2 linked regions of the Oryzias latipes genome follow. The protein of the gene in region 2 interacts with the protein of the main gene of each other region in a pairwise test. Links are inferred from orthologs where the notes say so. Each region holds a gene or a part of one and is shown on either strand. Other genes may lie near its edges.

What was found.
Region 1: the proteins of ube2w (region 2) and rnf26 interact in a two-hybrid assay, tested with the Homo sapiens proteins (2 studies listed by BioGRID and IntAct). The link is inferred for Oryzias latipes from reciprocal best matches to the Homo sapiens genes UBE2W and RNF26.

The regions. Positions count from the first base shown.
Region 1 is NC_019871.2:16,451,242-16,455,452, forward strand, and holds the start of rnf26 (E3 ubiquitin-protein ligase RNF26), read left to right. Parts: upstream 1-1,402; 5' UTR 1,403-1,779; coding exon 1,780-3,123; 3' UTR 3,124-4,211. UniProt on the Homo sapiens protein: E3 ubiquitin-protein ligase that plays a key role in endosome organization by retaining vesicles in the perinuclear cloud.
Region 2 is NC_019878.2:16,091,572-16,095,132, forward strand, and holds part of ube2w (ubiquitin-conjugating enzyme E2 W), read left to right. Parts: intron 1-2,120; coding exon 2,121-2,223; intron 2,224-3,561. UniProt on the Homo sapiens protein: Accepts ubiquitin from the E1 complex and catalyzes its covalent attachment to other proteins.

The sequences.
Region 1 (4,211 bases), on a different chromosome or scaffold from region 2:
AAATTTCAATCCAAATGTTTTCAACCAGATTCCATGTTATTTCTTTCTCACTCCATGCATCTGCTCCTGGTCCGGCCCTTCTATTCAATTTTAGAACCCTATGTTGCCCAAGAGTCAAAATAATTGCCCACCCCTGGATCACAGTTATTTTTAGAACGTAACTCCTGTAATATACGAGGTAACTCTGTACTGGTGAAAAGGTAACGCAGATATATGTCCAGCTGCAGCAGAAGACATAGAAATGTGCTTTTTTCCTTACTGGATGAGAAACAGAGAGCTGCAGCCCTCAAAGTCTCAGCTGGTCTGAGACGGAAGAGGATCGACTATTAATTGTTTTTTCTTTTTAATGTATCAGTCAGTATATTTTTCCTGACATTTTGTCTTTGAAAATCACAGAGAGAGTTATTGGTCATTTTTTGTTTCATAAATAGTGTTATTTATATTATTAAAGAGATCATGAATTAATAAAACTTTATTATAGGGCTTTACAATAAAAAAAATATAAAAGAAGTTTTAAGTTTTAAAGAAAAAGACTTATTGTGGCCTTCACTACAAAAATGTTGGGGACTTCGCTCCAGCATCCATGTGGTGTTTGAAGATTTGTTGTTTTTCATTCTTACGATCATTTAAACACCACATGAATGCAGCATTCCTCAAAGTTTTACATGAGGTACATCAAGCCATTGGTGCAATTGGCTCTAAAATGAGAGCAAAAGTTTTTAACCTAAAAACTTTAAAATGCTCTGTTTTAAAATATAATTTTCAATCCAAATGTTTTCATCCAGATTCCATGTTATTTCTTCCTCACTCCACGCATCTGCTCCTGGTCCAGCCCTTTTATCCAATTTTAGAACCCTATGTGGCCCGCGAGTCAAAATATTTGCCCACCCCTGCTCTGGACTGTTAAAATTGTATTCCTCTCCTTTCCACTGTCCTTTTTTACATAATGACAGATACAGTTTCATAGGCTTATAAAGGCTTTACCGGAAGCATTAAAAAAATTACATCTATTTTATAGGTTAAAGACTTAACTTGTCTGCACATTCAGATGGCCTTGATTCTACTACAAGATACTTGTTTTGTGGAAATTTCATTTTTTACTGATTTAAATAAAATTAAATTTTTTCTCATTACCAATCAGTTTTATGATAATTAAATAAATCTGCATCACGTTAACTAAACACTTGGATTTTGTGATTTAAAAAATGACTATATTTTATTGTTTTACTTTTTGTACTAATATTTTATTACAGAGAGAAAACGCTGTATTTGTAATAACTAAAATGTATTCATTTTTTTAATCTTCTGCTACTACCTTTTTGAAGTGTGGTTTCCTTTGTATTTTGGTATTGTTGATTTTTTTAAATAAAGTTTAAATGCTTCCAATTCACCGGAACTACACGAGATCACGTGAAACGAGCAAAACAAATATGGCGGTCACAGAGAGAGTACCATAAAGCTAAGCGGTCATCCTTTTTGCGTTAATTCTCATTTTCTAGTTGTTTTAAAAACATTTTTACTGCCATATGCACGTCGCTTGATGAATACGAGCGTCCTCGCGCCGCAGAATCGACCACAGAGCAAAACCGAAACCAAGAAAATGAACGGAAGTGTCAGGCGTTCGTTTGAAAACAAACATCCGGCTTTGCGTCGCGTGCGTTTTTGTGTCCCTGTTAAGAGATGGACAGACATGAACTCTTAGGTGAAGGAACGTCTGTGATGTTCGTGAACGCGGATAAGGCCGCGGGGCGCCGCAAGCTTAAATAAGGACGAGCCGCCATGGGTTTTGTTAACTTAGTGATAACTTCAGTAGGAAAATGTCTGGACGCGGTCTGCTTCCTTCTGGACCTAAACTTTCTCATGGTCCACACGGTGGTCCGGACTCTCCTGACTCTGCTTGCCTTCATACACAGCGTGCCCTCCCTCCTCATCAGTTCGGCTCTGCAGCTGGGGAACCTCTGCATGTACTGCGGCATGTGCGTGGCAGAGGCATCCTCACACCTCGCCCACGGCTCGGTCAGCCTGCTGGGTAGCGTGGTCCTGGCCCTGGAGGGGCTGCTGGAGAGCCTGAAGATGGTGGGTTACCTGTCGATGCACGTGCTGCTCAGAGGAAAAGAGCACCTGTACCGCAGTGTGCTGTCACTTCTGGAGGGTTGTGGCATTGCTCTCAGCCTGGTGGTCTACTTCACCAATACGGTGGTGAACTTTGTCCTCATTGCCACCCACAATGTCTACTTGGCAGCAGTCAGTGTGTGGCAGACGGTGTCCAGCCCACTCCAGAAGGTGGTGGAGCTCGCTCTGACCTCCATCACTTGTCTGTCCAGCTGCCTGACGGGAACGTCAGCTTTCCTGTGGTCTCCTTGCAAGCTGGTTCTGGACTTCCTGATCTCCCTGCTGCATATGTTCATCAGTATCTTCATATTGAACATCTATGGCCTTCTACTCACCGTCACTATCGCCTTGACTACCACCGCCTACCTTAACCCAGGACTGGTCCATCAAGCCTTTATTCGCCTCGTGGAATACATGAAGTCTTTTTCTGTTTTGCGGGGATTTTATCGGGCTGTCCATCGCTGTGTCACGGCCCTGTGGAACACTCGACATCTGCTCCGCCGAAACATGCAACACCTGCATAGGTCTCTCCGTCACCTCCAGCTACTGCAGGCTGCCATGTGGCAGCAGCTGTCTCAGTGCAGCAGGCAGCTGTGCCGTCTTCTGCGAACGATGCTGCACAGGGGCAACAGAGTCGGAGGCGACGGCGACCCCGGAGAGAGGAGGCGGGACCCGCCGGACGGGAGAGCAGGAGGCGGGGACCACCGGGAGCTGCTGGATTTAGTGTTTCCCTCCTCCAGCAAAGACGGCCCTTTGAAAAAGCTGCTGTCTTCTGGAAAGAAGCGTAAACATTTGCCTGCTGAAAGCCTACTGACTTTACTGAAGGAGCAGGAGGAGAGGAAGAAGTGCGTGATCTGTCAGGATAGCACCAAAACCGTGGTGCTGTTGCCGTGCCGACACCTGTGCCTGTGTCGAGAGTGCACAAACATCCTTCTGAGGCAGCCCATCTACCAGCAGAACTGCCCTCTCTGTCGTCACATGATTCTCAACACTATGGACGTGTATTTATAGGGATCAATGATCCGTGAAAAGCCTTACAGTATTTACAGAAATAGAAAGGAGTAACGATAAGCCTAAGAGTAACACCAACACTGTTCTTATGTGATATTCAATCTGTTCTTTCTCCATAAAGCTGTAAATCTAAAAAAAAAAAATGTATCTGTAATGTTTTATTTTGAAGGTACTCCTCAATCTTAAAGGGATCAGTGTTAAAACAGATCATAGTGGATACTTGGTATATCGCTTTTACTATTTTAGATGTGAAAAGCAAAGAAGATTTCCAGACTCTTCTTGCAAAACTGGGTAAAAAGCTGTGGAAACTAAACTCAAAAGTTGCACATACTCAAAACGAATGCCAAAAATCTGCAGTCTAAGCTCCATTCTGCACATTTGATACCAAAATGAGACAAACATTGATTAACACGCATAGTAAATCTGTTTTTATAGACCAGAAGTGTGTTTTTTTTAATGCTGGGTAGTGCTGTCACTAACAGTCTCATTTGGATTCTATTTTTTTTTTATGTTTCTTTTGTTAGCTTTCTTTTTCGACGTTTATTTATGGAATAATTCTATCTCTAAATAGTATTTTTACTTGCCCTGCATTTAAAATTAACAATGCTCTGTGCATAGGATACACATGTACCGTTGAAAGTATTTTTTGATTTTTTTTTTCCCACTTTTAACCCTCATTTCCATATTAACCTATTAACATTGCATCCTAATGCTGGTTAAAGGTAGTTAGCTTAAAATCTCTAGTACTCAAAGAAAAGTGAGGCATCCTTTTCATATTTTAACCCAAGAAATCTACCAATACAAATGGAACATACCATGTGTGTAGCAGGGTCGTACTAAGTTATCAGAAGTGCAAAAACGCTAAAACTGTGTACACAAACATTTTAGAATAAAAATTGTGCTTTAGGTTTGTGTTCCTGTCACTCTCATTCTAAACAGCTGCAGTCTTTGTTGTTTCACTACATTGCTGTTGAGTCTCAGGTGTTCTGATCCATGTGTGCCCCCCAGAAGAGCTGAAGCGTTTCCCACCGCTCACATCTTAAAGCACTGAGTAAAGGTGCCATTTTTATCTGTTCCTATCACAAACC
Region 2 (3,561 bases):
ACCCTGCAGAGGACTGAATGTCGCTGGAATGAGTCAGATTAAAGGCTTTGGTTTTGACACTTCATGCAGAATTGACAGATTCTGGTGGTTGACTCTTAGGATGATGATGAGAAATTACATTAACCCCGTCTCAGGCTAGTGTTCTTAAAATGATGAAGGAAAATGTCAAAATCTAAATAAATTCATTTAATTCATAAAAACAAAAGCAAGTAACTATTTTAAATATCTACAAACTCCACTGTATTTAATAGATGAATTGAATACATGTTGTAAGCGGAAGTATTTTGTAGTAGTTTTAGTTTAAATCAAAACTGTCTTTTCCATGTTTTCCTGCTTAGTGACAGTAAACTATATTATTTTCAGAAAAGATACTTATAAATGCTGAGTGAACATGTTTAGTTGTTTTAAAAATAAAATTGATATGTTTTGGCAAATTACTTAAATAACATGTTATGCAACTTCTAAAAATACATGCTAATAATAAACTATCATTAATAAAGTGAAGTGGTCAGTTAGAAAAAGTTGTTTATATTAAGGGATGTTTTTCTGCTTCTGTTGTTGTATTCAAAGAATAGAGAGAACAGATTACAGTTCATTCAAATGTATTCTGTTGTATAGTAATTTTGGACCTGATAAGGATTTTGATGATTCTTTATTTAAACCATTTTTTTAAATGTTTTTTTGCATTAAAATCTAAACTAAAAGTAACTTCAGGGTTTTTCTCTTTTATTTTTTTCTACTAAAATCTATCAAATGTTTTTATGTTTAAGAGAGAGCTGTAGGATAGTTATCACTTTTGTTGGGAGATGTTTTTTTTTAAATAAATGTTATGACTTGCACAGCACTTATAAAAGAACGAGCAGCCAAAGTGCCGAACACAGAAATTAAATATAAATAAAATCCCTAAACAATAAAAGAAAGAATAATGATAAAACGATGAAAGCCATGAAGCATTACTAGTTAACCGGTTTGTGTGGTCACATATTATTTTGGCCACTTTATCATTGCTGCGTCACTGCCACAATCTTTTCCACCATTGTTCTGGCAGTGTGATGCTGAAGGACAGCAGATACTGCAGAAAGTGACCTGCCGGCACATTTCAGCCGTGATCCTGGCGTCTGCGTCCCATGTTCCATATCTGGGTACACGGGACTGCTTTCACAAAACGAGTGTCAAAGATAAAAGGGGAGTGTGTTGTCCCCGAAATGTTAAATGAAGGTGAAGAAAGCTGCAAACTCCTGGGTTTTTTCCATCACATGGAGATCAGATAGCTTACACGTGATACAAGAAGCAGTTTGTGAGGAAAAGAACTGTGCTTGATGTCTGTATGTTTTTTAATTGTTTACAAATGGAATTTAACCCAGGATAAAGAGCTTCTCTAAAGTATGTGCCGTCTTGCCTCCTTTTTGGTTTGCATGTCATAAAGCAGAACCAGAAGATTATGAAACAACTTGTCATTCTATACTGACCAAATGTTTTTCTTGCAGCAACTAAGACTAAATGTCTGATTTGATTCTTTCTATCATATAAATAAAGTAAATGTTTAACCTCTTTTAAGTCTATCTTCATAAATTCTTTGTTCATTCAAGGAGGGACCACTTGTGTTTAGATGCAGTTCAGAGTGAAATCTTTTCTATAAAAATTCTATAATTTTTTTTAATAGAATTTAAAGAAATGCACTAAAACATTTTTCTGGGCTAATGTCGATTATCTATTCAAGTTGTAAAATGTATATTTTCCTTGTTATTGCCAGATAATTGACTCAAATACCTGTGTGCTCATAACTATCTGTTGCATGAAAGCCAGCTAATTTAATAACCGTTGATTCTACCTTCTAGCCATAAAACAAACCATCTTACAACTTCTAGTGGATCAACATTTTGGCCAGCAGCTGTCGGTGAGCTGCCCATTTTAGAGGCTGCTGTTGTTTATGGAAACCTACTGAACATTCCTCTCCTTTATCTATTGCTTTATTGTTCCCTCAGTGGGGGTAGAAAGCAAGTCTGAAGACATTCTGACCATATTTTTTAATCGCATCACAGATTGGATGTCTCGTTAATGCTGCTTTTATTTTGGTGGGGTTATTGAATCCTGTTTTTTGTCTCTTGCTTGTCTTTTAGGTGGATTGTAGATATGGAAGGAGCGCCTGGGACTCTGTATGAAGGAGAGAAGTTTCAGCTACTTTTCAAATTTAGTGGTCGATATCCTTTTGATTCACCCCAGGTAAGCACGGCCCCACACGACCCTGAATGTGAGACTTTCTAGAGCTCTTTGTCCCGTGCAGCTGGAAAGGTTTAATAATAAATCAGGTTCTTTTTAAGAACTAGCAGCTAGACTGAGTGTCTACGTTTGACGGAACTATTGGAGGCTTTGAAAGATCTCTATTCAGACAAAAAAAGACAATAACATAAGGATAAACTAAGGCAATTGCTCCTTTTCCATGGCTGATAAGAAGTTTTTCCTGTTTTAGACTAAAGGTTCTGCAAATCAATGTGAGAAATGGAGGTAAAAGTTGTTTAGTACCTGTACAGAGCTGCTTTATGGGTGGTGTATTGGTCACACTCTCTTGTTAAAGGAGCGTGCTTTAGAAACAGTGGAGCTTGGATTCAGTCAAATAGTTTCACTCGACTGTTTGTTATGCTAGTCAATTTCTTGACCATCTAAAAATCCAAAATTCCGAACTAAAACCCAACTGAGCTGCTTGGACACAACTCTATTTACTGTAAGGCCAGACTGTCAAAGGTCGGACAGGTCAATACTGTTCGATGGCGTTCTGTGTTTGTGTTCGGTTGCATCAACATAATCAGAGAAAATGTCCCTTACTTTCTGGGATTCTCCCCAACATGCTCATAAATATGTTGCCTTATAAAACTGACCTGATCTATTGATTTTCTGTTTTAGAACCACCTGATGTTAGACTCTAATGAAAGGATTTCTTTGACGTAGTTTACTTCTATAGATGTTCACACTTCTCATTTGCTGCCAAAGCTTAAAGTTAAACACTTCAAAATCTTCACTCACCACCATCCTGAAATTTCTCGACATCTTTCGATTTCTAGACGTATTGGCTAATTTTGTTCATAGATTGCTAGTTTTTGAATAGCTTTTAGGTTTTTGGATTAATCAATCTTTAGTTTTGTGTTATGTTTGCTTATAAATAAAGCTGTTCTTGTTTTTTTAAATCATTTTTTTATTTTACCTGGAAATAATTTGTAATTTTAGATGTTCCTATCTGCCTTGTATTTTGCTCTCTGTGAGTGAAGGATTATACATCTTAACCCCAATCTCAGCTCTTTCTCTGGTGCTATAATCTGGATTATATGGACATTGATTACCTGTTTACAAATCAGTAATAACGTAAGAAGGCTAAAAGTACAGTCTTCCCATATCGAATCAATCGTACAAAACAAAGAAAAGCTCTTATTTTTAGCAGCATAAACCATAATGTAAACAGTGAGTAGAAGCAGCTGGAATGAGGAAACTCTTTGCCATATTTTCACTGCATTATAATCTTTCTGCCTCCTTTACTGACCTTTTATATGAACAGCTGATCTCTTGAAC